Tamandua tetradactyla: one gene and its partners. The protein of the gene in region 2 binds, or shares a complex with, the protein of the main gene of each other region. Links are inferred from orthologs where the notes say so. Each region holds a gene or a part of one and is shown on either strand. Other genes may lie near its edges.

Region 1 (7,679 bases), on a different chromosome or scaffold from region 2:
AATATAAATGTTTTGAATTCCATTTCATCACATTTTGATATTTCTCTTACTTTTCACTTTATTCCCTTTAAAATTTAATTCATCCTCAAGAGCAAAAGAAAAAATTTCCACATGTCAGAATTCCAGTTATTCTGCATATTTCTTATCAACACATTTTAAATGTGTTTTAAATGCAAATGAGTCTTAAATTCAAATATCCACAATCTTCCATAAATCTATTAGTGTTGGTGTGTGTTTCTTCTATGCCCATCTCCAGGAAATATTTCAAAATAATAAATAAGACTTCTTCCTTCCAATTTTATTGCCTCTTTACTCCAATTCTAATTGCCTTTCCAATAACAAAGTATTTCAACCACTTAAGGTTAAATCACAAGCTCTATAAACATAGTAACATGCCATATTGATCATCTATAGATACAATAATTCCAAGTTACTTAAATACCTCAAACTAAATAATTGAAAAGATTTTTGGCCCAAGTTAAACTTTCTAGCTCTTCTTAACCCTCTCCCCCAGTAAAAAAAGAAGCCATCCACTTCCCATCCAAGAAAGTCTAGGAACTATTCTGAAATGTAGCAAGTTTCACTTGAAATGAGAGGGAGAGAATCCAAGATTTACTGGGGGCTGCTCCCAACTAGTAACATAAGGAAAACTGTACTGTCAACATGTTTAAAGGCTGATTTGAGAAAGCAGAAAGACTCTGCCCTTATATTTCTAGCTACGATTCAATGAAAGATTTGGAAGCCAACATGAACCGGATGGGGGGGGTGTAATGGAGGGACCCCCTTTGCAAGAGAGGATAGAGGGTATTGGAAAACATACTGCCACCCCCACCCCCCACCCCCACTATTTATCCAGGGAGTTCTAGGCCCTCCAAAGAGCCCAGCTCACAGCCTCAACACAAAGCTCTCACCCAGATGGTCCCTAGTAACAATGGACCGAAGGAGTGAGGGAGGGGGCTTGAAAAGGATAGTACAGCCAAATCATATTCTTTGAAAAATTCAGCAAGCGGTGTGGGGGGGGTGGGATGTGGAGAGTAGGGTCTATTTTAAAAAAAAGAAAAAAAAAGCCTTTCCCTGTTGCAGAAATATAAATTAAGCACAAGCATAAGGGTATTCTTTTGGGGAGCAGGAAGCTCATTCTATTGTCCCTAGGGAGTATAAAGGGACCCCCCCTCCTCCAAACCACTGAAAAATTATGGTGAGGGAAGGGCTCAAGGATGGGAAAACGGAAATAAAACCTGCTAAGAAGTTGCAGAAATTGCCTTGGGTCAGAACTCTTCAAAAATTATAAGCTTCCGCACAAAAACCGGCCCCACACCTTGAGCAAACTCCACGAGATTTTTCCCCTTCCTATTATTTTTTATTTCCTTTTAATCCTCCAAGCAACATCTTTTAGCCCACCATAGTCCCAACTTATTATTTTTTTTTACAAGCTGTAAACCACCCATTCAACAAGATCTTGGCCAACCTTCCTTCCCTGCCCCCAACATCCGGAGTTGGGAGTGAGAAGGCCAGTAATGGGCTTCTTCCACTGGAGACGCTATGGACCCCTGATCGGTGCCTCTCGGCCTCCAGGACGGGCCCCAGAGAAGAGCTCTTCCCTACCTTTGCTTTTTGGGGACAGAGTGCTCAATCTCTAGGCGTTTTCCTTGTAGTTCTACTTTCCCTAAAGATTAAAAAAACACACACACTCACATTAATATGAGAGACTGAACAGAGGTGGGGGTGGGAAGAGGAAGTAAAAGACGCTAGGGTTATTGAAGAGTTACTGGGATTCGAGATCGTCCTAGGAATTCAGAAGTGGGTCCCGCTCCTGGGTGGGAAAGGGTCGCTCTGGGCACTATGGAAAATATATTCGTAATATTTTCTTAATTTTTTGTTTTGTTTTCGCACTGAGGCTAGCTGTGTTGTGAACTGCCCTGGGAGCGCCATTTGGGAAAGGTGCGGGGGCATTTCTGCGGGTGCGCTGCCAACACGACCCCCAGATGTGGGGAGAAGTGGCCAAGAGGGAAAGATCTCCCGGTTTCTCGGAGTGTGAGCAGGGGGGCGGGGCGCGGATGCAGAATGAAACTTTATTTTTCTGAAGAGCCAGGAAGAAGGACTTCGGGCCGCCGGGCGGTCACCTGTCGGGGCCCGTCAGGACGGCGAGAACCTGGGGAAGCAGCGCTGAGCCCCGCGAGGTCCCTCGCGGCCTCCGCGCGCGCCTCTCGGCCCAGCCTCGGCGTCTCGGGAAGCAGCATGGCGACCCTGCGCCGCCGCCGCCGCGCCACGCCGCTCACGCCCCACTTTCAAATCAAAATGGCTCAAGTCCCAGGGCCTGGGCGGTAGGCGGGACCCCTTTCCTCCCAGGCCCTGCCCGAAGACTGCGGGCCCCACGGAAACCCGAGGGACCGGAGACGGTGTGGGGACCCCTTCCCTGTTTGGAAAGGCCTAAGGCGGCGTGCAGGGACTGGGGGTGCTCAAACTGAGGGGCCGTCGGGTGGCGGCTAGGGAGGAGCGGGACTTGGAAATAACGTCCAGGCAGGGGTCGCCTCAGCGCCGCTAAAACCAGGCCCCCCGTTACTGCCAAATGGGGGCTCCCGCCCCGTCTTTAGGGTTTAAAGAAATCACCTTTCTAAAGCCCCCAATTTCTTGTCTCGGGTGGGAAGAAGGGGTGAGAATATCCCGAATTATTTCTGCAGAAGAATAGGGGTGGGTTGAGGGTGAGTCCTGGGGCCGAGCCACGCAGGCGGGGCCAGGGGGTAGAGTTGGCGGTCAAGCAAGAGAAGGTGCAGGTCTCGCTTGTTGGGGATCTCGGTGGTGGTTTTTTTTGGTGTGGGGGGGAGGTGGGTGCGCTCTTACCAGAGAAAGTTTCGATGGCCTTCATCGCCCAGTGCTCGTCGGGGCAGTCTACGAAGGCGTAGCCGGATTTGACCAAGAATTGGCCGCTGTAGGAGATCTTGTGCTCCGCAAACACTTTCTCCAAGTCGGCGGAGGTCACGCTCTCGTTGAGGTTGCCGATGTAAAGCTTGTTCATGGTGGCGGTCTCGCGGCAGGACGCGGTCTCCGGCAAGGCCGAACCGAGCAAGTGCGGACGGCGAGCCTCCTAGGCCGAGAGATGCGGAGAGCCGCGGCCGGAACGCAAACTTTCTTTGCACCCAACCCTTAAGTTGTCGCGAACCCAGGGCGGGGAGGGCGCCTGAGGGCGGGGAAGGGCGCGGGAGAGTGCGGGGAGAGCCGGGGAGAAGTGTCCGCCGCGCGATCCGACGCGGAGGACGCGGTGGCGGGTCCCTTCCTTTCCTTGGGTCCGATACCCTTCCGAGCCGACTGGTGTGTCACGTTTCTCCGCGGCCGCCCTGGCGCCGCCTCTAAATAAAATCGACTTGAAAAAAATGGAGCGGAAAAAAAAAAAACGAGAAGCCACGTGGTGAAGGCCCCCACCCACCCCGCAGGGGAAGACCCCCGACGCCTCAGGGCCCCTCGGCCCTCCAGCCAGTCCTGGTCTACCAATCTCCCGCCTGGGGGGCATTCGACTCACCCCCAGGGGAAACTGCGGCGGTGGGGGCGGCATTCCCGGAGGTCTATTTGCCCCCTCCCCCTTTATAAGAACCTGGCCCCTAGGGAAGCGCCCCACCCCCACCCATCTCCCTCCCCTGGCCCGAACTGGGGGAGGGTGGTCGGGCCCAGAATCTAGCCCGCAGTTCTGGGTAAAATGTAGGGCTATTTTTTATTCGTTGGGGGGGGGGGAGTGTTACCCACCCCAACCCGATTAACTGCTCGAGACTGACAGCAGGGGAACGGCCGTGAGAGACAAAGAGAAACCGAGGACTCTGGGGTCTTCAGGAGGGGGTCGTGAGAGCTGGGGATTTAAGAAGGCGCCTTTTGCCTAGATTTTTAAATGAGGGGTCTCCGCCTTCCCCGCCCCACCCCCATGCAACTCCCCCCGCCTCCGGGGATCGGAAACTGATTTCCCCTGTGAGCGCGGGATCGGGAAGCTAGGAACCCGGAGAATCGCAGTTGGGATCGAGGGATCCGCAGGAAATCATGTTTCGGGATTCCCACGGGAGAAAGGGTGGCTCGCACAGGGGATCCGACTGTTGAGCGATAACATTTCAGGGCTCCTGTGGGGGCGCGCGGTTCCGGTCCAAAGTGACCCCTGGAGAGAGGAAGGGTGGAAGAGAAGAAAGAGGGGTGGTATCTTGGGCAAACCCGGAGAACCGCAGGGGGAGGTCTCAGCGAGGGAGTGACCGGGAGGAGATAGGAATGGTCCCCGTTTCCCTGCGGGGCAGACAGGTGGAGTCCTCGGCCTGGTCCACGGCGGACACCTACAGGAGCGCTCCAGGCGCTTGGTTGGGGTCTCGGAACTTTGTTTGGGGCGCAGGATTCGGATCCCAGTGGGAAGGCGGGAGAGGGGCCCGGGGCTGGGGGCTGGGCGCGAAGCCCCTCCCACGCCCCCAGGTCAGACCCGCGGGGGGAGGGGGCAATTTCCGCTCGGCGCTTGAGGAAGCGAGGGGCGAGGGCGGAGAGGAGGGGGCGCTGGCTCCTCCCCCGCCCGTTCCTGGGGAGGGGAAGCGGATCCGCCCAGGTCCCTTCCCTCGGCTTTGACCAACTCGTTCCGGATCCTCCGTCCCCAGGAGCCCGAGGGACGGACCCGACTGGGCAAGGGGCGACACGTGGGCGGTCGCACCCCGTCCCGGCGGTGGGGGAGGGGGCAGGTCGCCGCGCGTCTCGGAGTCCCGGATACGCGACCGAGAGCGGGACGCGGGGTCCACGCACAAGCCCGGAATCCCGGGCGGAGAGGCGAGGCCAACGAGTTTCCAGCGGCGCGGGGCTGGGATGGCGCCGGGGGGGCGCGGAGAGCGCGGCCAGAGGACCCTGGAACCCTCTCAGTCAGGGAACTGGGGAGGGGGCGGGGGTCGACCACCGGTAACGCCCGAGTCTCTCGGAACTGGGCGGAAACTCGAGTCTTGGCCCCGGGTTCCTCTGGAGGGAGAAATAACCCCGTCTGGGGCACATGTGCAGCGAGGGCAGGTGAAGAAGGGGGTCACCCGCCCCTTCCCCGGCCCCCGACCCCATTGTCTCAGTCGCCTGCGGCCCGGGCCGGGTTTTGCAACACGTGTTGCCTGTATTGATATGAATGCCTTGAATTTTTTATTGTTATTATTTTTCTAGTTTTCAGAGTCAGTGGACTGACTCCGACTTTGGCTCACCGCTCTTCTGCCGGTGATATTTATACCGTCCAAAAAGTCCGGACTGAGAAGGCAGCATGCAGCACCTTCGTCCCCCTCCCCATTTTTCCAGCGCGCTGAGAATAAATGAAGGGGGAATGGGGCTTACAACTCGTTTCTCTGTCTCCACCACCTTCAAGAACCACCCTCCCAAATCAGCGTTTTGTTCCAACCAGCCACGTGTTTGTCGGATTTTTATTTTTCTTTCCTTGGGGCAATAGGAATTTTTAAAACATAAACAGTTGGTTGCTAATGTTTTCTGTTCAAGGGGGTAGGAAGACCCCTCCACACACACACTCACACACACACACACACACACACACACACACACACACACGCCTCCTCAGACCCTCCACATCTTCTTTGACTTAAGATTTAGTCAGGTCTCGACCGCAAACATAATTTTAAACTATACCAAAGAGCTGGAAACAATGCCTATCACATAGTAGGCACTCAATAAACATTATTTTTTTAAAGGAACAAGCTAATACCAACTGCAGAGCAAGGAAAATCCAGAGGAGATTTTGAATCCAGAAACTACAAATGATCTTGGCCAGAATATATGGGTCTGTTCCCAGGGAATTTTCTTGGTGGTGTGTGTGGATTTTTGAAAGGGCTAAAAGATGATCTCAAGAAAGGCTGTTGTATTCCTTGGCCTTTTCCTAAGTAGGAACCCAGGTCTCTTTAAAATCTTTTCTGTTTTATTGGGGAACAAGGGAAAGGATACTAGGCAAAGCATCCCAGTACCCAGAAACTTTTAAGTACTGTTTTTTTCATTCAATTTAAATCTTTTAAGTATTAATAGATGCACCTCTCAGCTATTCTACCTGGGGGAATGTTCACTGCTCTATCCTCATATCCCTAAAACAAAAGCAAGTTACACCCTAGAAAATCTCCACCCAGACCTCTCAACTCCTGTACAAATGCAGTTCCCCTTCTACTATCCTAGCTTCAAAGGGAAATGAGTTATAATAAAATAATAATAATAATAATAATAGAATCTTGTTCCCTTTTAGATTGAAAATAATAGAAGTTTAAATGTTAGCTGAAATTAGTCAGTTTTTTAAAAATACATATTTAAAATGACAGCCGAGGAGAAAAAGTTTGCTCTTTAAAAGTCTTTTTAAATTATTAAATTAAAAACTTACCAACTATTGCAAAATTGAAACTACTTATTTTTCAAAATCAGCTGTTTCACTGAATTCTAATCCTCCCCTCACACACACACTCAAAAATGGCTTCTGCACGTATAGTCAGAGGTTGCAAGAACACAAGGGAGAGAAGGAGACAGCTGGGGTGAGATACAGACCTTTTTAACCCCCAAATCAGTTTTGCCTCAGTGACCTAGCTATTTTCGTCTGGGGGGCGGGGGAATTCTGAATGGCGCTGATTGGTGCTTCACCTCTGAGTGAGCTGAGCACTAAAATTAACCTGAAAGAAGAGTTATTTCTCTCAAGACTCAGATTCCTAGGTTAGGGATAGGTATGAGCAGTCTTAGGTTGCCATAATTTAACATCTTTCTTTTCTTTGTTTTACTTTATTTTTTTAATATTTAAAGACAACTGATAAACATTGTATTTCTTTTCAAAAAATTTCCCATGCCACTTCTTTGGAAAAGGTTAATGTTCACTGAAGAATTAAATTTTAAGGACCTAGAAATATATCTGTGAAATAAATTATGCTTTTCTTTCTTTAATAATGTTAATTATTCTTCCTTTTTTCATTTTCTCCTTTTACTTATTTTCCTACTCTTCCTCCTTTGTTTTCACTGGAGAAATTTTTGGTCTAGTTATTGAACTCAATTCCCTCTGAATTCAAAAACACTAAAACTCGACTCTAAAAATAAAGGTGGGGTTCTGATCCATTTCCATCCAACGTGAAGATACAAATACATGCAGAGAAAAAAATGTAAGAAATAAAACAACTTTTTAAAAAATTGGAAATTGAAGGTGAAAAAAATCAACAATTCCACAAGTATCATACCAAATTAATTTTATTTTTAATGTTTCCTTGCAGTATTTGTCCTTTGTAATATTTACACTATGTAATTTTATTCTTATATCCTAATTTCTCACTCTTGTATCACCAGTATTTTTCCATACTACCTCAAAGTGTTCATAAATATGATTTTTAGTGAACATACACAAAAAATGCAATCTATGTAAATTATTAACTGTTATTTTAGATATTTAGGTTGCATCAATTTTTTACTTTTGTAAATAATGCTGTAATAGGCATTTGGGGAAATAGAACTTTTCCTTTTTTTAATTAATAGTTCCTTCAAATAAATCCCCAAAATATTTATAGCATTTAAATTAGCATTTCTCAGTGACTTTTCTATTTTAGAAGCCAACATGTTTTACAAGAAAGAAGACGCAAAAAAATTAGAAAGCAGTTAAGATAGAAACATATTAAAATTGAATTTTTAATTTTTAATTTTCTATAAAAAGAATCAGTTTTGAAATAAAATTA
Region 2 (7,325 bases):
GTTGATACTCTGATTTGGACATTTTCAAAGCCTCAGACCTGTAAACTTATAAACTAATAAATACTGTTAAAAGCCAGTCCATTCCCATTCGACTACCACTTTTTCTCTTAATAGATTTTAGTGGCTATGCTTATGGGATAGATGAAAGTTGCCATGATCTGAAGAGGGAGGATTTTTCTGTGTGTCCTTCTTCTATATGAAATGGCTGAACAGAAAACCAGTGCCTGTGACATTTTAGTACTATGTACTAAACTCGATAAAACCAGAAGAATTTGAATAGTAAATTTATAAGTGTTTTTCTCCCCCACACTTCAAACAGGGAAGCAGTGCGGTATATCAGTGAAAACCTAATTATTAATACAGATAAACTTGGAAGAGATTGCCTGATTAATGCTGCTAAGACCTCTATGTCTTCCAAAATTATTGGAATGTATCCTTGTGATGGGCCAGCAAAGCTTGGGCTAATTTAAAAAGAAAGATTCTGTGTTAGTTTTTATGCTTAAACTATTGATTGCACTGGAGATCATATACTGAGATTGCCTGATGCCTTCCCTGCCTTTCTAGGGAGAAAAGCTGAACATAAAGTGTGTGTAAAACTTAAATTGTACATATTAAGTAAAAAAAAAAAAAGCCAGTCCATTTCTAGTATATTGCATTTTGGCAGTTTAGCAAACAAAAACAAGTCCAAATGCAGTAAGTATTCAGTACTTGAACTGAAAACAAGAACCTATATAGCTCAAATATTTACATGTTTCTAAAGTATCCCTAAATGTCCAATTAGCCCTAAAATGGCCTTGTCACTTTGACCTCTCCCCTAAAGAATACATGACTTTACAAGTGCTCCTGTATAAACCGCCTCTCTTCCAAGACACCTGTACCAAATTAAATATTAAAAAAAAATTTAAATACAGTAGAAAAGCCTATTGAGAGAGTCCTATTTCCTACTTTACAGGTATCTTTTTTCCTGTTCTTAACACAATGGAAGTAATAATGTAAGGAAGAACGACCATTACAAGGGAGAAGACTTGGTTTTATCCTTGCCACTTGCTTGAAGGTCTGCTATTACCACTACACTGCTAAAAATCCTCTGGTGGTGTCTCATCGCTCTATGAAAAAAAAAAAAGTCTCTTGTCTGAAGGTATGGGAGTTGAACCAGTTCTCTCCTTTAGGCCTTGCTACTTGTAAAACTTGAAGATACCAAGTTTCTTGAAGTGCAACATTTATTTGTTAGCGTCCCCCCTTTATTCCAGCTTATAGATACCAAAATAAATGGAGCCTACAAATCTAACGTCTGAGTCGTAATTATAAGCAATTTACCTGAAACCAAATTTAGACCAGAGAAAATATGCTATGAATTTAGTCTGAAGCCAAGAGAAACCTCCTTTCTCAGGTTACACCTGTTTAGGATCACTCTTAGTGCACTTTGTTAGCATCTACGTTTAATGCATTTAAGCCGGACACTAGTATAATCCTGTTATGGTCACTGTGCAGCCATGGGCTAACCCTGCTCAGCTGTTTTGGTGAAGGAGCACTCTATCACAGAAAAGCTGTGGAAAGCTGAAGAGGTCTACCTGTAAATTCCATTCCTGAATAATTAACTCAAAAAACAAGCCCTGAGTAACATGAAATACGAACTACACTATCAAATTCCTTTCTCCTTAAGTTGTCTCATCTAATTCCACAATATTCAGCATCAACTATATATTGAAAGCACAGTCCTTTCCCTTCAAGCTCCAAGATCATAAGTTTATCCAACTACCAAACTAACCTAATTTAGGAGTCATCTACCTCCTGAATAACTGCCATAACTATTCATTGTAGAGCACCTTAATATGGGCTAGTTTCCTTAGTGGATCATCTACATGAGCTATTTTATTTACTCTTTAGAGCCTTTAGATAACCATTATTATCCCCTTCTCACAGTTGAAGAAGACAGAGCTAGTGATCGGAGGAGCCAGAATTCCACCAAGGAGGTCTGACTCCAGATTTACTTCCCTCTACCACTACAATTCTGCTTCCCAAATATGTCTGCAATATATCTGCTTATGTCCATCTCTCCCACCAGCACTGCACATCTGGAGTACTGCTTCCACTCTTGCCACCTAAAATTCATTCTTTTAAATCCTTCTTGCCACAATCCAGTCACATCCCCTTCTTGAGGTTCCTTTTTAGTCTCTGGCCTTTAAGCGTCAACTAATCCCTCCTGCCTCTGCAGCTCTGCTTTTCCTCATCTTCACAGCTGGCGCAATCTCCGCCTTCAGATAATACCTTAAATGTCTACCCCCTCCCCTAGACGCCTTCCCTTGCCGCCCGACCTAAAATAACTCTCTCCCTTTACACTTCTAAATTCCTCATAATATTTTTCAATCGCTTACCCCTCACAAACCTCTCTGAGGGAAGCGGCGGGACTGTGTCTAACCTGTGTGATGCTCTACCCACTCTCTGCAGGAGGGCGCCGAATATTTGTGTCGTGAGGGAATGAATGAAGGGCCTAGGAGAGTGCGTCGCCGCGGGCTAACGACCCGACAACTCACTCCCCTTTCGCTCCGCGGCGACAGCGCCCCCAACGTGAGCTGATCGAAGGAGAAGCGGGTTGTACCTCGGAGACAGGGGTAGGAATTGCTGGGAGAAGGCCTAGGCGCCATAACCGCGGCCCTGGACAGGGCCAGCGCGCTGCGGCCAGCGGCAGACGCAACCCCCAATCCGGGAACTTGGCGGGGTGGCTCGCCCCTTCCCCCACCCGCCATGGGCACCCGCGCTTTGTAACAAAGCAAGGCTGCACCGACGTCGGGTCCCTCCCCGCCGCCCCGCGACACTGTTGCCCCGCAATGAGGGAAGGGCTCCTTTTCCTTACCGAATACCGCTTTAGGGTGCTCAAGAGCACAGCCCTCTCAGGACTGACCGTGGCTCCGGCCTTCTACGACGAAAGCAGAAAACCGCGAGAACGCTAGCATGGAAACGGCGGCGGAATGGCTCCGACCGCTGCGCAGGAAAGGGGCGGGGCGGGGCGGGGTTAGTACGCGTACGCCTGCGCAGAAAGCGAGCGTGGGCGAAGGCGCCAGAAGGCCGGGGGCGAGCTTGCTGCAATCTGGCTGCGCTTGCATCCCGTCGCCTTGGAGACCCGCTAAGTTCGCCGGAGGTGCCCTAGCGGGACTTCTTCCAGTAACACGCCACCCGCTTTTTAACATTTTAGGAGTTGGGGCCGTTAATATTTTAGATGTAGCAATATATATCGTAGCTTCTGTCCTAGGTACCTCTGGTGAGATGACAGAACTGGAAATCTCCGTGCTCACCTCATTAGGTTACTGTGATGATTAAATGAGATGGCATATTAAGGGGGCTTAACACACTACCTGGTTCATAATAGGTGTTCAATAAATAGTAGCTGCTGTCAATCGTTAAGTGATTCAGTTACTCTGATCGTGAATGTCTCCTGAGAAGGAAATACGCTCAGTGAAGGGAGGGACACTGCACTAGCTCAGGACACCCACTATGATGCCGGGCACATCGCACTTGCGCAGTAAGTACGAGTTGAAGGAATGAATAAAACATGCAAGGCCATTTTTGCTTAAATTGGATATCCTTTTGTATTCAGAATCTTTGGGTTAATTTGTATCCTTAAGTATTACAATAGTCTACTGCTAAATTTTTTTAACTCTAGTGCAACACTGCAAGATATTTCAAACTGAGTTGTTCCGGAAAACATAGACCAATCAATACTCTGGACCCATCATAACTATCCATCCTTAGTTTTCGCTTCTTTCATTACATTTTTTCTTACTCCTTCTAGGTCATGGTGATCACTCCCTTCTTCAAAACTCTAATGCACTTATAATGAGAACAACAAAATTTAGCATTTACTCATCTTTTATTTTCATCATGTGTTTGCTCTCCTCAATGAAGAGATGTGACCTAGCCCATTCAAGGTGGGTCTTAATCCTCTTGCTGGAGTCCTTTATGAGAGGATAAAAGGCAGAGACATTTTGGAGAAAGCTGAGAGAAATGCCCACAGAAGTTCAGAGAAATTTTGGAGAGAAGGAACAGCAGACATTGCTATGTGCCTTCCCATGTGACAGAGGAACCCCAATGCCAGCAGCCTTTCCTCTGAGAAGGTATCTTCCTCCTGATGCCTTAATGTGGATACATTTTCATGGCTTTAAAATTGTACATTTGTACCCTAATAAGGTTCAAATCTCCAAATAAGGGAGATCTGGAGGCGGAAAGGAAGCTGCAACCATCTTGTAGCTCACAGACATTGAGCAGTAGACTCACCTAATAGGTATGAGGCAACAGCTGGGCCTGCAACTGCTGCACCTTGCCATGGCTTCTCCTTCAGTTTCTCTGACTCCTGGGCCAGGTAACTTAATGAAGTGACATCATCATAATGGCAGCATAAGCTATCCCTAGGAAATTTCCTCTTAGAGACATTTAATAAAAGGGCACATACCACTCACCTGGAACTCTGGAAGACGAAAATCTGGGAAAAGATTCTACAAATGCTGAATCGAAGAAAAAAAAAAAAGCACCAAAAGGAAAAGAGAAAATCTGTGGCACGGACCTGCCTATCTGGATCTTCTACCTCACTGGGTCTTATGTGGTTTAAGAGTCACTCAGTGGAAGCACTCTGGCCTGGGCACCTCCTGCCATGGTCATTGACCATAGAGCCACCCACAGCAGTAACTTAGATCTCTGTACACATTTAGACACAGGGACCAAAGTGGGGAATCCGGTAGTCAGCAAGTGTGCTCAGAAAAATCAGCCCCCAGGAAACAGGAAACAAAGTGACCCACGATGGAAGGGTTGGCAAAGGGTGCACACTCCCAACTTGGTCTCTAATTGCTGGTGCACCTAAATGAAAAATGGGCATTTCTGAACACCAACCCCATCTGGCTCCCTGGGTGGGATACTCTAATGTGCAAGTTACTGGAGGCAGAAGAGCCGAATGGGAAAAAGGGAAAGACTAAACTGCTCTAAGGCAGAGAGGAGAGAGGACCAAAAACTGTAATGCAAAGGCAGTCCTGGAGTGGAAAAGCAGTTGATCAAATCACAGTTTCTGGGAAGGAAAATTTGCAAAAAGAACAAACAGAATAGTTCAGGACTCCTGAAGGAGGAACAAAGAAAAATAAATCTTTTCCTAGAGCTGAAACAGTCACACTTAATTGGACAATTGTAAGAGTTGCAGCACATGCCCAGAGCGAAAGACAGGTGCAGAAGATCTAAGAAAATCTGAACTGTTAAACACAGGCTGCTTTAAATGTTCAGTATAAGCCGGACCAAGCATTTGAAAAGAGCCTTACCACTCAGTCAGTGCACAATCAAATCCTAGGCAAAAGGAAGAAACTGGCTGAATTAGCACATCAAAATAATCAAATGGCCAGACATGAGAAAAAAAATCACAAACCATATAAATTCATCTTTATACCTTACACATATAAAATGTAATGTAAATATTTAATTAAAAACCTTAAAAGGTGGGAATGAACTTATTCAAAACTATCTAGGAATAACTCTGTTTTTTTTCCCCATAGATGAAGGTATATAGCCTTGATGATGAAGATTTGGTTCAGGAATAAAGAAAGTCTGATAGTTTTTTAAAAACATTGTCTTAAAAATCACTAGATTTCTACTGCAAGTCCTTGAATGGTGGATGTAGGTCCTAAGTATTAAGGCATGTAAGAGGAAATTCTACTCTTTACCCCAATCCAGCCAAATCCAATTTGTGCAGAGACTAATACCAAAAGCTACACACCTGGGGGACATACCTGGGGACTAGTAAGTGCAGGTTACCCCTACTCTGGTATGAGTTCATTTACACTAAATCCTATTTTCTTGGCGACATCATAATCTCTGATCTTAAAGAAGAAAAATGGGTGGATAAAGACATTACAGGTAAATGCGAACAAACATGAAGAAGGGGTGAAAATGACAGTATCAAATAATGTTGAATTCAACTACAAAAGCATTTAAAGAGAAGGGAAGGACACTTTATGATGATTGTTCTAGTTTGCTAGCTGCTGCCATATACTAGAAACAGAACGGCTTTTAAAAGTAGGAATTTATTAAATTGCAAGTCCACAGTTCAAAGGCCACAAAAATGTCCCAACTAAAGCAAGGCTATAGAAATGTCCAATCTAGGGCATCCAGTAAAAGATATCTTGGTTCAAGAACGCCAATGACGTTCAGGGTTTCTCAACTGGAAAGGCACATGGCGAACCTAGCAGCGTCTGCTAGCTTTCTCTCCCAGCTTCTTGTTTCATGAAGCTCCCCGGGGGGAGCGTTTTCCTTCTTCATCTCCAAAGGCCTGACTGCAAGGGCTCTGTAGCTCTTTCCAAAATGGTTCTCTCTTAAACGGCTCCAATAAGCAACCCCACCTTGAATGGGTGGAGACACATCTCCAAGGAAATCATCTAATCAAAAGTTAGATGTGACTCACAATTTGATGCGTCATATCTCCATGGATAATTTTAAAACTTCCACCCAGCAATACTGAATGAGGATTAAAGAACATGCCTTTTCTGGGGTCCACAAATTCAAACCAGCACAATGATAAAGGGTAAAAATCTATGATGAAGATTTATTAGTCATGAAACTTAAAGCAATAAGCAACAAAGCATCAAAACTCATAAGGCAAAACCACTTTTTATTTAGGGTTACATAAAGTCAGGTGTGGTAGTGGCAACAGGATGATCTATTTTAGGAATCTGTGAACAGTAAGGGATGCTCGATCTGAAAGAGGTGCAGGTTAGAGAGTTGAAAATAGTGTCAAGGAAGATCAGCAAAATGTTTAGTCTGCTTCTGGCTGCAAGTAATTAAAAGTCCAGCTAGAAAAGGCTAAAACAGCCAGGAAAACTTATTGTCACATAATAACACAGTCTTGACGTAGGGTAGCTTCAGGGTTGGTTAATTCAGCAGTTACATGAAGGTCCACAAGTTTTTTCTGCCATTCTCAGTATGTTGGCTGTGTCCTGAGATTGGCTCCCTCATGACTACAAAAGCATTGTAGCAATCTACCTCTGGATTCAACAACGGCCAGAGGAAGAAGAGATCTATGCATCTAGGTGGCCAGATTTATATCACATGCCCACCTGTAAACCAGTCACTTATAGGGAATGGGATTTCCATGGCTGGCTTAAATAATTTGGGATTTACCTCTGATCAGGACATAGGGTCACTTTTCCTGAGGTATGGGAAATAGAGAAATGGAGGTTCTATTAGAAAGAAAGAGGAGATGGAGGCACAATGGGCAGGAAAAATATGTTACATACAGAAGTGCAATACCAACTGTTTCCTTTTGGTAAGTCCAGGAAAATTATTCCATATAAAAT
Region 3 (7,847 bases), on a different chromosome or scaffold from region 2:
CTGATGGAAAGGACACAGGCTTTGGAGCCAAGTAAACCAGGAAGCTTTTTACAACTTTCTAGCTTTGTGACCTTAGTCTAATCATTAAACCATTTGGACCCGTAGTTTGCTCATATGGCTAAGTGACATGAGATGATAGGCTTGGCCATAAGTGTCAGTTCCTTTCTTCCTTCGATCTTTCTTGATTCCTTGTGTTAATATACCTGTCGATTTTGCTCTGGGAAACCGAAGGTCTGGTTTATGTCAAGAATCAGACTGGTTCTGCTCTCTTAGGAAAAGAGAATTAGAAGTGTAGATGATAGCTGGGGGCATTATCTCTCTCAAGGAATGTCCCCTTCCATTTCCTCTGAGCTGCTTACTGACTTTACTGACCTCCACGTCTCTGCCATTGTAGACCTCCCTTGAGTAAGAGCATCTGGATTGACCCCTGAGTTTGCTTTCCTGCCTGCTGCTCCTCCATTTGCTCAAGAGACCTTGGAAGTATCACTGATTCAGGACCCAGGATTTTCTTTGTTTAAGTTTTCAACTGTAAATAAAATTTTGTGTTTTTTATTTTTGCTATGTATGTTGTTGTTAAATGGTTGTATTAGCAGCCTCTATCTCCTCACTTCTCAGCTTCAGCTGGGAGGACTGTCTCTGCCCAGAGGCCAGCATGGACCAGAGCCATGCCCTTGCTATGTATAGTTGATGCCTTAGAATTGCAAGCTGTTGTAGTAGTCCCCTCGTAGCTGATGTGACAAAGAAATCAAAGCCTAGGGACTTAAAGCAATATTTATTCCAAGGGTGTTCCTAGTAGGTTTAATGCGGTTAATTCTGGGGACCATGGGAAAAGAGTCACTAACTTGGGATGTTTTTTAATGAGACCATTTAGTAGAATGTGTCTTGGTCATGAAGTGGTGGTAATAATATAGTCAAAAATCTCAATTTGAATCCAGGGTCATTTAAACTATTGGTGTTCTTGAGAAATTTTCTTCCCCTTTCTGAGCTCAGTTTCCTCATCTGTAAAATGGGGATAATACCTAGATTTGCCTCATAGTTTTCTGAAAGGGTCAAATAAAAGAGAATAGATATGAAGGAATCGTTAGAAACAGTAACATGTCTTTGAAAATACCTCACCATAAAAAGATTCCACTGAGTATGTTTAAGAGGAAAAGAAAAAAGTTCTCTGGTGTTCCTTTCATGAAGTATTTTACAAGTTCTCCCATTCCTGACTTTACCTACTTTATTCCCATCTCATGGACAGGATGCTATCTATGCCTACTGGCAGCAGGTTACTGCAGCAGAGGTAGCAGAGAGCCAAATTCTATGATAGAATCTGGTTAAACATGCTGTTTCAGTATACTGGGAGACAAGGGGGGATGTGAGATATACAAGACCCTACAATGTAGATATTCAGAACTCTCTGTAGCCAAGTAAGCAGGGACCAGAGCAATCAGTAGGGAAGGAAGGGACTGTGAACTGGAGGAAGACAGATCTTCAGTTAACTAGGCAGAGAGGTGGGAAGGAGGATGAGCAGATATGTTCCTGAGCTGATATTCTTATGGGCTAACTATTTAGTTGAGTTCAGTCATACCTGGCACCTCCATTTTATGCCAGTCCCTGTCCTGGGCACTGGAGTTGCAACAATGAGTAAGATGTAGCCCATGCGTGTGACAGGAGACAGATACAGTTTCAGTTCAAGGTGGAATTAGAATGTGAGCCCTTACGAAGGCAGGAAATTGTTTACTGCTGTGTGTCCCCTCCCCCACTGCCCCCAGCACCTGGAGGAGGTGTCTAGTGTCTCATGGGTGCTCAGTTAAGTATTTGTTGCATGAATAAATGATGATGTTGGTATGTACAAGATGCTATGGGAGTAGAGTGGAGAGACTGCAGGTAAGAGGAAGATGTCAAAGAAGGCTTCTTGAAAGACTGACGTTTGAGGTAATTATTAATGAATTGGTTAGAAATAGCCAGGAGATGAAGGTGGAGAGGGCTTTCCTGGAAGAGGGAACTGTGTTCTTAGACAAGAGTCTGTTAGAGATGGGGAAGAAGGTGAAAGTTATTTTGCAAAGTAAATTCTTGAACACTCTTGCCCTTCATATCACTAAAAGCTAGGCAGTGAGGTTATCTGTGCTGTGGTCACCATAGGCCACTGAGCAATATGAGTGAGCCCTCAGAATGGCAGGAGGATCAGCAGAACTTTGGAGTGGGAGCTCTCACTTTGGAAGGAAAGATGTATTTCCACATATTATGTTATCTTATGGTGCTCCAGTAGTGCTAATATAGAGGTGACTACAAGGAAACTAGCTTTTCTGTCTTAAGAAGTTCATCTACACATTGGAGGAGCATAAAGAGAAAGCCCCTTGAAAAAGTAAAAAGTAATTGGATAAGTAGTGATACTTTAAAGTAACATTTTAAAGACATGTTTCAAAATTTGTATTCTGCTTGAGAAGCCATCCCTTCAAAGCAATTGCAAAGGCTGCTCACTTCAACAGTCAAAAGTCACCTAGAATTGGAATAGCAGCTTTGGAATCCACCTGCTTCTCTCCGTCCACACTGTGGCTCCAAGCCTTCTTTTTCATGTGTATTACTAATACGGCTACCCAGGAGACCTTTTTATTTCCAGTGCTGCCTCCTCCAAACCATTTTCCACACCATGTCATTCGTTTAACATATCAAGCTATTATATATGAAGCACATTGCTAGGTGGTCAAGGAAGACTTAAGAGCAATACAGTATCAGGAAGGGGTTAGTACAGGATGCTATCAATATAATCACACGGGGGAAACACCTGAGTGACATCTAGTACTCTATAAGTAAGCAGCCAGGACCTAAAAGTTGAAGAGTTAACCAAGCAAAATGAAGGGGAAAATGAATAATGTTATAGTCTGAGGGGGTAGCCCAAAGGAAGCAATGACTAAAAGATCACCTGGAAGATTGGGCAAGAATTGAAAGAGTGGAAAGGTAAGAGTTTAATTTGGTTCAGAGTCCTATAAACCACATTATGGTATTTGGACTATACCAAGGGTAATGGAAGTTACTCGAAGACATTAAGACTGTCAAGGTCAGATTGGTTTTTTCAAAAGAGCATTCTGGTGGTTGAGGTGGAGACTGTAAGAAGAAAGCAGTGTGTGTGTTGGGGGGTGGCAGCAACCAGTTAGGAGGCTAATGCTCTAAACCAGAGGTCAGCAAACTGACTAGCAAGCCAGATCACACTTGTTTTTCTATGGCTCATGAACTAAGAATGGTTTTTAAAAATTTCAAATAGTTGGAAAAAAGTCAATCTTTTATGTAAAAATTATATAATTCATATTTCAATGTCCATAAAATAACATTTTATTGAAACACAGCTGCACTTGTTTATGTATTGTCCATGGCTGCTTTTAAGCTATAATGGTAGAGTAGTTGAGATAGAACTGAATGGCCCACAAAGCTTAAAATGTTTACTATATGGTCCTCATTTTTAAAGTTTGCCTAATCCGACTGTAAATAACAGTTGATGATGGCCTAAACTAGAGTAGTGGCAGTAGGAATAAGAGACCGGACTGACTTAGAGATTTTTAGGACTGGTTCAGGGAGGCCTTAGGGGATGGAATTGACAGGCTGAGATATTACTGATGGGACAAGGAGTAACCTTTCCCATCACAACTCACAACTTTCTCTGCTTCCATTCTCTTGCCCATCCGCAACTCATTTTCCACTCAGCAGCCATTTTAAAAAGGCCATGCCCAGTCTCTAGCTTCCAACTCTTAAGTTACTCTTCTCACTACTGCCCTTGGGGGAAAACTAAAAATATTCCTAATTTGATCCTGCCTACCTCTTACAACCCCATGTCTTCATTCTAGCTTTATTCAACTACGTTACTCGCAGTTCCCCTGAGACAACCATCTGGTCTTGTTTGGGGTGGGGGTGGGGGTGGGGGGCTTCGCATAAACCGCCCTGCGCCTGCAAAGTCAGTGTTTCACCCTGCGTTCCTCCTCTCCCAAGATGCTTTGTGCTTTAACAACCGTGGCGTGAAACGGGATGTTCAAATTTCTGCCCAAATCTCCAGACTGAATTCCAGAAGGCAGAAACTGACTCGCTCTTATTCCATCTCCAGCATATAGTAGACGCTTAATAAAGAACGAATGGAGCCGGAGGACTTACGCAACATCAGGTCTCCGCCTCAATTTTATCGTTTGTGAAACGTGGACAGTAATCCCTACTTCACATGGCTGCTGTAAGGACAAAACGCAAGAAAAAATGCCTAGTTTGCTCAAAATACGAGTTGAAATCAGTCTGAAAAAAGATGTGAATTCTCAGGAAAGCACATTCCTTATATGCCAGATAAAATAGATCGGAACGCGGTCTCCAGGGAGCACACAGCAGCCCCCACCACCTCCCTAAATATGCTGAGCAGGGGGGGCTTGAGAGCCCGCGCGGTCCCCTGAGGGTGACTGCGCCGCCCAAAGCGGACTCTTCTCGAATGCATACGTTTAAGTCTGATACTGGAGAAACCCTCCGCTGTTCCCCGTGTATGCGGCCATTATGGAAAGCCCGCTGTATCCCCGCGGTAACACTGAGTTCACAGGACCATATATGGAGCAGGGAAGGAGGGAGGCTGGCAGTCCCTCCACAAGGGGCTAAGGTGTCACTGGGCCCCCTTCCACGCCGCAGGTCAAGCAGGGTAATTCCGGACCAGGCGTTTGGCCGCGCCTTTCCCTCTGGGCTGGCACAACCCAGGACGTAGAGGCCCGTGCGGACTACACCCTCGTGAAAGTCACGTTCTCTCTGCCCACCCTCTCTGGTTCTCTATGGTTCTCGTGGTGACTCTACCCTAATTCTAGTTCCGGTCTCTATGGCGGCGGCGGAGGCAAGAACGGTTGTAGGTCTGTCGAATTAGCCGCCTAAGAGCCAATGAGAGTAGAGGAGTGATAAAGTATTAGTCAATAGGGGCCAGAAGTTGAGGTCAGGTGGTGGGATTGACAGCACTGCTGGCCAGTGAACATCTTTAGGGCGGGCCGATCACAGGGCTTATCCCGCCTGTCCCGCCATTCTCGCTAGTTCGATCGGTAGCGGGAGCGGAGAGCGGACCCCAGAGAGCCCTGAGCAGCCCCACCGCCGCCGCCGGCCTAGTTACCATCACACCCCGGGAGGAGCCGCAGCTGCCGCAGCCGGCCCTAGTCACCATCACCGCAATCATGAGCAGCGAGGCCGAGACCCAGCAGCCGCCTGCCGCCCCCCCCGCCGCCCCCGCCCTCAGCGCTGCCGACACCAAGCCCGGCACCACGGGCAGCGGCGCAGGGAGCGGCGTCCCGGGCGGCCTCACATCGGCGGCGCCTGCCGGCGGGGACAAGAAGGTCATCGGTGAGGGCCGAATGGAGACGGGGGTGGGGCAGAAGGGGAGCCTGGCCGCGGAACCGTTACCCGAAGCGAGGCGAGGAGGCGAGCGCGCGGCGGGCAGGGACCGACTCCGCCGCGCGCGGCTGCCCCTCCCCCACGCCCCCCCACGCGCGCACTCCCCGGCGCCGGCCCGCGTGCCCGGCAGGCGCGCGCGCGCCACCGACCGCGTGTGCGGCGGGGTCCGGTCCTCGCCCGCCGTTGTTCCTGTCTCCCCCACCCAGCTCCCTTCCGCGTGTACCCTGAGGGCGCGGCGTGCCGCCTACGCAGGCCGGAGTGGGCCGGGGCGGTTTCCCCTTCCCTCACGTGCTCTCTCGCTGTCTTCTCGCACACCCATCTTGGACCCGCGCCCCAGGCCTGCCCGTGGGGCGTACCGGGCCATCCAATTAACCCACGTGTTCCGTTAAAGCGTCCTGGTGGCGGTAGCAAGGTCCTGGAAACGGGCTTTGAAGGGAAAGGCTGTCAGGTGGCCGCGGCCCGGGCGGCTGGGAAGCGTGTGAGGGACCGGATGCTGAAGTGTGGCTTTTTTAAAAAGAATACCTGGTAATTGTGGGGTTTTTTTTTTGTCTGTTTTTTCCAGCAACGAAGGTTTTGGGAACAGTAAAATGGTTCAATGTAAGAAACGGATATGGTTTCATCAACAGGTGAGATGACCGTCACTGAAGCTTCCATCCTCTTGCATGTTTTCTACTCCGGCTGTAGGTTTTGCGTGGCTTTATTGTTTTAAGGATATGGAGATACACGCGTGTTCAGGGTGTGTGATACCTCTAGTGTATTAGTGTGATGTTCGTTTTCCTTGATGACTGCAAGGAATAGTGATCTAGAGATTTTCTTTGTTTTGCAGTTGTATCTTAACTTCTGAGGCTTCATTGGGGCACAAAGCACTTTTAAAAGGCAAGCAGAGTGTTTGAGCCATACCGTAGCAGGTTAGGACAAACTGAAGAAACTATGGTCCAGTACGAATTTTTCAGTTATATTCGGGTCCACAACGTTTTTGTTCTTCTCATCTTTTTTGTATATTTTATTGAATTTTTATTGAAATGGTTTTGAGAAGGAGCCCCGTTAGGTTATTTATAACATGTTAACCTCTTGTGGTAAGATGTTTTGACACGTTAAGTGTATGCGATTTTATCATCCTTATTGTAAGATTATACTGCCTTTGTTCCAGTAGATGCTGTCTTTTAAATACCTCGCATGAAATCTTTTATTAGAGCTGTTTTAACAAAAGGGTGTGTTGCTTTATTTATTTTTATTTGTTCATAGGGTTAAGTAACACTTGTGGAAGAAAATAGTCCGTACCCGTCCATAATTTTTGTTTCTCCTACTTACCTGTCCCAAAGTCGAGCCATAATATTAAATCAAATTATTTTAAAGTCTTGGCTATATGTTATTAGACGGCTTTAGTCCGGATGCCAAAGTGTGTGGCTCTTCGTATTTCTTCATATCTGAAGGTGTGGTTACAAAACACCTTCAGCATTTATCCTTAAAATTGCCTGTAGTAATAGTGATGGGGAACGTGCAGTTGATTCACAGCACTCTGCATGGATCTCCCTTGTGAGCCGGGCATCATTTTCAAGATGGCTGCCAAGGCGAGTAGTGCAGATACATGGGTGTAGAGCAGTGTACATTAACGGGGATCTCGGGCTTACAGGTAGGATATGTAACACCATGTCAGCATTTTTTTTTTCTTCTTTTAGAAAGCTTTAAACAGGTAGATGTTAAAAGCATGTTTGAGAGTAAGAAGTAAAAGTAGAATGTTTGAAATGTACAGTGTACTGCAGGAAACCAAATGGGCAAGATCAAGTTTAAAGACTGACATAATTGATGAATGAAAAAGCATTCATCAGTCAACCATAAAATATTGAGGAAACACTGGAAGTAAAAGAGATAAGCATTTGATGGTCTGTCTTCCAATTTGCATTTTAGGGAAAACATTTTGATTCTTCAATATCTTAAGGAATTTTTCACCTTTTATACTGTAGCAGGCCAAAGCTACATATTCTCATCAGTTTTGTATGTTTTGATGATGGATTGCTAGGGAAGAAGGAAGAGAATCCATTTACATCATTGATTGACTACTTTTTAGTTGATTGATCTCTCAATTATTAGTGTTTCAGTTAGTATTTCATATTACTCTGATTCTCCTTTCTGGTCTAAGCTCTAAACCAGTGGTTTTAAATTAAGTGTGCTTACCTTGGAAGAGAATACCCTAATTTCTCCTTCAGAGCACCTGATTTAATGAGAGTTCCAGGTGATAGTCTGTGGGCCACACCTTGAGACACATTGCTTTTAATCCTTGATAATGTCATTATTTCTTGTGCACATTAGAAGAGGCTGTTAATTTGCATGTGCCTTTTGGGTTTTTTTGCATTTTTTTCAAATGGCACAGGTTATGATATTTTCAAAGTAAATAATTTATATGCAAGATGTAAAAGTAGTTCTTTACATATTATAAATAGTTATGCCATGAGATACTATTCTTTGAATGT
Region 4 (7,777 bases), on a different chromosome or scaffold from region 2:
CTATCTCAACTACCTATAAATGGTATACGGTAAGAAATAAAAAATTTAATGTTTACACTGTTACAAATCTGAATAAATACAACTTCTAATTCATGGAAATTTAAGCTTCCACTGCTTAAATCTACTGGGCGATGTGACACCTATCTACTTGTACTTCAATCATTTCTACCCTCTGCTCTACTTATTACAATGAATAACTTCATTTTTATCAAATACCAAACCAACGTAATTACTTATAGTAAAATTATAAATCTGACAGCCATGGCTCATTTATAGGTTTGCAATACTTCCTCATACTCAATTGCAACCCAACTGGGTAAAGTAGCAGAATTTACAGTGCTGCCATTGATACCATTCGCTGCTGAAGAAAGCTAGTGGCCCAGTGAAAGCCCACTGCTGCTGCCCCAGGTCTTTGGAAGAAATCAACTTATGTTAAAGCAGCAGCTACTGAACTGGAATTGAGAACAAAACAGCAGTTATTGAAAAAATAGTATTACAATCTTTCGTTAGAATAGGGAATAAACTTGTGTGCTAATGGGAAAGGTCATTAGCAAATATTTAACTAGCCCAAATAGCTCACATTATAATTCTACAAAAAAAGCGTAATTACTTTACTGTAGAAGCCTTAGTATAAGTTATGGGTACTTCACAAATTTCCATTAGGTAATTAGTAAAAAATTGCCATTAATTTTACATTCCTAAGCATAAGAGCTTTCAAGTCATATAAATTATAAAATCGCTAGAGCATGTGAAATTACCAATACAACTGATGCTGTACTTAAATATTAAGCTATAAGAATGAATACACACCATAATCTCCTACTTTTACTGTTTTCTGAACTTAGGTTGGACGTACAGCATTACGTCTGTAACACTGTAGAACCAAACCACAGCATTTGGAGCTGGAGGAAGGGAAGAAATGGCTTCACTTACAAGTATCAAGACAAACCACTGTGTCATCGAAGTGTTCATCTTCTTCTTCGACAGGCGGCTGAGGAGATTTGGCTCTGAAAGAAAGAATTGTCTCCTGATATGGCTTTTCCCGTCAACCAACAAAGAATAGATGATTAAAAAAAACTAGGTTACCATCCTCTACCTGCTATACTTGTTTTCTTCAATGTACTCAAAATATCCGCGGCCATGATCTTCTCGAGGTCTTTTAACACCTCTCTTTTTGTCTCCGCCTTTCTGCTCTGTTTTGCCGTCTCCTACAATACACAACAGCCTTATAAGAAGCCAAGCCGCCAAAGAGTGACCAAAAAAATCCTTTCCTAGTTTGAGGCGCAAGACCTTGTCTTCATCCTTTATTCCGTAAAGAGCTTTCAATCGACGAATCAAACGCGAAATCAAAGCACAGAATTCAACCAGTTAGTGACGCAGTCCAAAGACGTAACTAATTTTGCCGTGTACGCGATGATCCGAGAAAACGAAAGAAAAATAGTCGGGCGCAAATCCTGGACCCACGTGCACCGACAGTGTTCAGGAAGGGGGGAGGGGCGAGCCTCCGCCGCGCGGCCCAGCCCGCCCCTCCCCCACCAGCCCGCGCGCCCCGCCGCCGCATTGTACTGATCTTCCGCCCAGGCTCCCCGCCCGGCGCCTCACGACGGAAGTGACGTCACGCCTCGACCCTGCGCTCCTTGCACAATACAGCGCCCAAGAGCCGCTGAGGCACCCCCCGCCCCGGGACCTCGAGCCTCTCCCCTCCCCCCCCAGGCATGTGCCCGCACCGCGCACACGCAGCGCGGCGGGGCCCCCGCTGGCCCACAGGGCTTCCTCCCGCCGCCCGCCGTGGCTCCTCCCCCTCCAGCGGCAGCTGCAGCTCCCCCTGGCTCTTGAGTCACATAATGGAGGCGCCACCGCCGCCGTCACACACACCGACCCCGAGGCCTCATTACGAACCCAGAATTACCCGCAACCCCCCTTCCCCACCTGGATAGGCACACGGAAAAGGCTCCGCACCCGCCCCCCTCGCCCAACCCCCGCGGCGGCCCCAGCCCAGGGTTCCCTCCCCGCGGCGGGGCTCCGGCAGGCCTGGGGCACGGTCCCACCCCGCGCGGGCCTCCCGCCGCGCGCAACGTACAACGCAGCACTCACCCGCCGCCGGAGCCCCGGGGCGACCGCCGCCTCCGCCGCCTTCCGCCTTCTTCTTACCTCCCGCCTGCTGTTGGCCCTGCCTGGCCCCGGGCGGCGCCACCGTCACCGCGAACAGCGAGGTGGGGCCGCTGCTCTTCCCCGCGGCCTCCTTGGCGGCCCCGCGCTGCTGTTGGGGCTGTTGCTGCGGCGTCGCGGGCGGTTGAGGCTGCTGCTCCCCGTGCCCGTTCTCGTCTCCCGCGCCTTCCTCCTCGTCTCCGAGCTCATCTTCTCCTTCCTGGAAGCCCTGATCGTCGCCGTTCTCGTCTTCCGAGGCAGCCTCCTCCTCCTCCATCGGGCCCGAGTCGGCCGCCCCCGCGGCCCCGTTCTCCTCCCCTAGCTCCATCTGGTCGCCATCCAGGGCCGCGATCCCTTCCTCCTCCTCTTCTTCCTCCTCCTCTTCATCGCCGGCGGTCGCGGCCTCCTGCTCGAGGCCTGCTCCCGAGCGCCCGGCGGAATCCCCGCCCAGGTCTAGGCTGCCGTTCCCGGGCTCCATGGCGGGGCGGCCTCCGGCCTCCTCGTCGTCCAGCGCGGCCTGGAGTCGCTCCATGAGATCGGCCTTGAGGCCCTTGTCAGAAAGGCGCCGCTTCTTGAGCTCCTCTTTCAGCTCCGACACCTTCAGCTTTTTTACATTAACAGGCGAGGAACTCATCGTGAGGGCCCCGATTCACCGCTAGGCGCTGGTTCAAACTCGGCTCCGCTCACACGGCCACTGGTGGCGGCTAGTGCGGCTGCTCCTCGGCCCGGGCGGCGGCTGCGGCTGCGGCTGGAGGTGGGTTCGTGCTGCAGAGCGGACCCGCCTGGTGTCGAACGGCGCCAATTCCTTTCACCGAGTTCGCGAGGGAGACGCGGAGACTCGCCTGGCGCGAGCGAGCACGCAACGTCCTCTCGCAGGGCGGCGCCGCGCACGTAATATAGTCGCCCCGCCCCCCAGCCTTACGGTAGTGCTGCGCAGCAGCAAAGTCGCGGCGCGCGCGCGCTCCCCTTCATCCTCTTTACCGTACTTACTTCCCCGCCCCCACGCCGCGTCCCAGACTCGGAGAGCGGCGCAGGCCGCGCGGCGCCGTTCCTCACGGACCGAGCAAATGGAGGAAGGTCGACCGTCTCTCGGTTAAGCCGAAGCCTACCGGCCCTTCCAGTGCCTTAGTACTACTTTTGCTCTGTCAGTCCGATCTGGACGCTGCTTTTATCCATATGTCTTTAATTTCACTCGAACTCTCCACCTTTTCTTCCATCTTAGATTTGCATTCTTAGATATTTGTCCTCTATCAAATTAAAACTCCTCCACATTTTATTTCAAGTTTGATTTGTACCTCACAAATTAGCTTTGATTATGTGCGTGAGGTGTATTTTTCCGCTTAATTTTTTTGTTTAATTTTACCGAGTCCTGCCTGGGGAGTTGGATTTTAAGTGCCGGAAGGGTGAGGGCAGAAGCCCTTTCTTTTGTCTTTTCCACAACCTCTGTTGCAGGGCTTGGGATCCTGTATTCCACGCTGCCAAATAAACTTTACAGGCCTTCATGGCAACTGTTCTCATGTTTTAGTAGCCAAATAGATAGATCTCAGAATTGCATTTGTGAGTTTTCTTTACCTACCAAAAAGACGGCTCTTCTATAATGTTTATTCTGTCAAATTTAGGAGCGGTCTGCAGTCCCAGCAGCTAACAATGAGGGGGAGAGCAGTCATGCACTTTGATTCTGTTCCTACTCCTATGAAACTTCTTAATCAAATCATGCTGAAACTATAGAAACTGGTGAAAAATATGATTTTGTAAAAAAAAAAAAAAATAGTCACGCTGGAAAGGAAATCGGTAATTTTTGTTGTATTTTTAGAAGTTTATGTTTTCTCTTTAGTAAATGAAAGGACTGGTATGGTCTCGAAGTTTTAGGTAGGGGTTACAAGGAAATAGATTTGTGATAACCCGGGAGAGTCTGTACAGTGACCAGCCACTGTACTCTCTAAGGAGATCAGTTTACCCAGGAGATCTGTTTGGTACAATAATGCCCCAATATTAATTTGAAATTTGGAAGTGTAGAAATCTGTGGTTAACTTTCTCTCATAGACTAGTCTGATTTGATGATTAATACATTTTATTTTTAAAGTTCCTTTTTGATAGTTTTTAGGAAGCATGTACCTTGCCATGCAGGCATGTGTAAAGATAAAATACCAACATTTATGTAATGATTTAAGTTGAAATTAGCGAACTATGTACAATGCTGATAATTCTTGGTTCAAGTTGACTTGAATTGATCGGAATAATATCCAAAACAGAACCAAACAGGTTTTAGCCTTTGGTTATATATCCTTGAAATTTATAAACAAGTGACAAAACTGGAATTTGAACGCTTTCTTTGCCCTTGATCAAAAATTGAAAGAGCTACAGGAAGCTTACACATTCACAAATTAGATAATTAGTCCGTTAGAGAATCAGGGTTGAATACAACTAAGTCTTTTAAATGTGTAACTATCCTTAGATCCTTAGGTAATAGTTACATTTTTAGGTATTAGTGATATGAAAACAATTTCAATTTAGCTGAAAAAAATAAGCCCCAAAACTAGATATATTATCAAAATAGATAGATTTACAACAGTTGTTTGGGGTACATTAAATCAGTTGTAAGAACAAACATGAAATATGTTGCGATGTGCTTTGAAATGTATTGTTTTTTGTATATATATTATTTTTTACAGAAAAAGAAAAAAGTCGATTGTGATGATCAATAAAAAGTCTTAGGGAAAAAAGCCAAAAATAATAATTCAAAAAATAAAAAGAATGAACATGAACTCTATCTTTAGATGCACATTAGAAAGTTCCATCCATGGCCTTGTTTCCAAGAGCTTTGTGACTTTTAGAGCCAGATGGGGCCTGTTGATCGTCTTCAGTCTGTTCATTCCACAGTCAAGGAAGTGGAGATCTCACCCCCATGCCGATCCTCTTTCGTACATTACAGTAGGCTCCCTTAGACAGCGTTCAAAAGAAACCAGTTTTTCTAAATGCTCAGAGAACCATCATCTTACTGGTTCTTTTTTTTAAAAGGAAGAAATGTACCATAGACATATTTTACCACTGAAAGTACAAATCATGACTTGATTTTACTAGTCGTTTTTTACTTTACTCTTTTTTGGGGGGAGGGGCAGGGTGCATGGTCTGGGAATTGAACCTGGGTCTCCTGCGTGCAAGACAAGCATTCTACCACTGAACCAGCTGTGCACCCTCATTCTGCTTTATTTTTTATACCATCATGACAGTCCTATTCTACAAAGTTGACTAAAAGTGAGGTTACTTTATATTTCTGAGGGACCTATAAGGAACTTGAAATTACCCCCTTTTAAAATCCTGCCGACTACCAAGAAGGCACAGTTGAAGGGGGACAAATTAATTCTCAATGGCAAACAAGTGATTGATTAGTTAATTACCCCTGGATAATTGATGTAGCAGAGATAATTACAAAGTTAGGTACCCCAGATAGATAATTTACATTTTAAGGTTGAAGCAATGCTGTTGTTTTGTCACACAATTCACTCAGCAAATATTTTTGAGCTAAGACAGGCGCTGGTCTGCTGACAGATCAGTGATCTATATAAATATGCCTTCACTCTCAGGGAAAGTTAGTCAGTAAATAAAGTAGAGATGACAGGTACTACAGGGGAAAAACCAAGCAGGAGAAGGGCAGGGCATGCTGAGGTGGGGTGCATTTATAAATGTGGTAATCAGGGAAACCTAACATATAGGGTAACCTTGTGGAAGCCTGAGGGGTGTGATAGGAAGTGAGATCAGAAAGGAAAGATAGTAGAAAAGATTCAGATTGCCAGTAGTTTTCTAGGTTGTTTTGTAAGGACTTCGACTTTTGCCTTCAGTGAGACGGAAGACACTGAAGGATTGTTAGCAAAGAAATGACATGAACTGATAGGAATACTAAATTTAATGAATCAGCCTGCACTTCATTTATCATGACACTTCCATTTAATTCTGTATTTTTTGTATACTACAATTTAGCATAATGAAAGAAGCAAGAAATATGCTTAGATACATTTTTTAATGTGTTTTACAAAAGATATAAGAAATTACAAGTAGCTTTGGGTTATTATAAATTAAGACAATTTTTCAAATAGACCAACAAGAAAACCCAATTGGAAGGGGGATGTACCAAATAGCAGTTAAAAGTGCAAGCTTTAAAATCAGACAGACCTGGTTTCCATACCAGCTAAACCACATAATAGCTGTGTGATCTTGGACAAGCTGCCTCATAGGGTTGTTGAGAAGATTCAAGGAGGTAATGAATATAAAACCTTGAGTACAGTGCGTGGCACATAGTCTTCATTAGATATGCCTGGCAAGTTAATAAACTTAAGAAAATCCGTGATTTGATTGTTAAATATTATTTAGGAAATTGTGACTTTACATATTTTGTAAATTGTGAGTGATTTGTTCATGGTGAGATTTCAATTTGGCAACAAAGTGAAATAGTGGAAGCAAGAATGTGCAGATTTTACTTCTAGCCCCAGCACTGTCATTATAATCAGCTGTGTGATCTTTCTGGACATCAGTTTCCTCCTCTATAAACCATGCAGAACAGACTAAAAGACTTAATAGAACTTTCTATAAGTTCCCTATTTGCTGACTCTAAGAAAAAGCCATGGGGAGGAGTCAGGCTAGAAGTTAGTGGAAACCTGGAAGAGAAAGAAGAGGACAGCACTATATGGTAACACCAGGGAACCCCAAGGATTGCCAACCCTTCAGCACCACTGGCCCCAGGCAGAAACAAACTTTCAACCTCCAAAACTATTCCAAAGCAATAAATTCCTGCTGTTTAATCCAACGAAGTGTGTGGTATTCGTCATACCAGGTGGGAAACTAACACAAAACCCTCATCTAGATGTGGCCCAACAGCTATACTAAATGGAAAGCTGATCCAGGAATGGCAGTAAAGTGTATATGTAGATACATTTACATAATATATTTACAAACATATACGCACACATAGTCCCAATGCATCCAACAAATATATACTGAGCACCTACTATGTACCAAGTATTGTACCATATACAAGGAATACAGATACAAATGACACAGTACCAGGCAGGAGCTTAGTGTTTGGAGAGAGAAGTCAAGGTATAAGCAATTGCAAAGGATGCTATGAGACACTAGGACAACTACAAGGGGAGCCAGCCATCTTGACCAACTGCTTAGCTGCTGTCTGTAGGATTCCCATAGCATAGGCTTGTACACATGCTTGCCCACACACAAACATTCACACATGCAAACTCTCTCCCCAACAAATATAGACAAGAAGCCAGTTGCATGACATTTGCAAGGAAACCGTAATTAGCTAAGATTTTCTTATATCATATTCATTACTTTATATACAGAGCTGCTTATCATTTTTAGACTTCTGCCAGCTAATAATTAAGCAAGTCCTTCACTAAAAGCTGTCAAGTGTTTAGAGAAAAAAAGTCAAAATCAAACTAAAGGTGTCCCCTGTTCTGTCGTAACTGCCAAGGAACTCTGTATACTCTGTTTCTAAATAACCTTTTCTTCATTTTCCTACGTTCACTTTGCTCCACACTTTTTCTTTTTTATTAATTTTTTTTAAATACCAAAAAAACACCAAACAAACGCGAACATTCGTAATTTTTTTATCATTCCA

The links.
Region 1: DHX9 (region 2) and IGF2BP1 share a complex: the UniProt entries of both Homo sapiens proteins name them as parts of the coding region determinant (CRD)-mediated complex. The link is inferred for Tamandua tetradactyla from reciprocal best matches to the Homo sapiens genes DHX9 and IGF2BP1.
Region 3: DHX9 (region 2) and YBX1 share a complex: the UniProt entries of both Homo sapiens proteins name them as parts of the coding region determinant (CRD)-mediated complex. The link is inferred for Tamandua tetradactyla from reciprocal best matches to the Homo sapiens genes DHX9 and YBX1.
Region 4: DHX9 (region 2) and HNRNPU share a complex: the UniProt entries of both Homo sapiens proteins name them as parts of the coding region determinant (CRD)-mediated complex. The link is inferred for Tamandua tetradactyla from reciprocal best matches to the Homo sapiens genes DHX9 and HNRNPU.

The regions. Positions count from the first base shown.
Region 1 is NC_135332.1:30,231,026-30,238,704, reverse strand, and holds the start of IGF2BP1 (insulin-like growth factor 2 mRNA-binding protein 1), read right to left. Parts: upstream 3,017-7,679; coding exon 2,842-3,016; intron 1,667-2,841; coding exon 1,606-1,666; intron 1-1,605. UniProt on the Homo sapiens protein: RNA-binding factor that recruits target transcripts to cytoplasmic protein-RNA complexes (mRNPs). This transcript 'caging' into mRNPs allows mRNA transport and transient storage.
Region 2 is NC_135330.1:37,702,458-37,709,782, reverse strand, and holds the start of DHX9 (ATP-dependent RNA helicase A), read right to left. Parts: upstream 3,001-7,325; 5' UTR 2,855-3,000; intron 220-2,854; exon of another isoform or gene 81-219; intron 1-80. UniProt on the Homo sapiens protein: Multifunctional ATP-dependent nucleic acid helicase that unwinds DNA and RNA in a 3' to 5' direction and that plays important roles in many processes, such as DNA replication, transcriptional activation, post-transcriptional RNA regulation, mRNA translation and RNA-mediated gene silencing.
Region 3 is NC_135328.1:182,059,483-182,067,329, reverse strand, and holds the start of YBX1 (Y-box-binding protein 1), read left to right. Parts: upstream 1-4,834; 5' UTR 4,835-5,159; coding exon 5,160-5,325; intron 5,326-5,385; exon of another isoform or gene 5,386-5,437; intron 5,438-5,938; coding exon 5,939-6,002; intron 6,003-7,847. UniProt on the Homo sapiens protein: DNA- and RNA-binding protein involved in various processes, such as translational repression, RNA stabilization, mRNA splicing, DNA repair and transcription regulation.
Region 4 is NC_135333.1:16,458,674-16,466,450, forward strand, and holds the start of HNRNPU (heterogeneous nuclear ribonucleoprotein U), read right to left. Parts: upstream 3,011-7,777; 5' UTR 2,783-3,010; coding exon 2,095-2,782; intron 1,209-2,094; coding exon 1,097-1,208; intron 1,008-1,096; coding exon 934-1,007; intron 1-933. UniProt on the Homo sapiens protein: DNA- and RNA-binding protein involved in several cellular processes such as nuclear chromatin organization, telomere-length regulation, transcription, mRNA alternative splicing and stability, Xist-mediated transcriptional silencing and mitotic cell progression.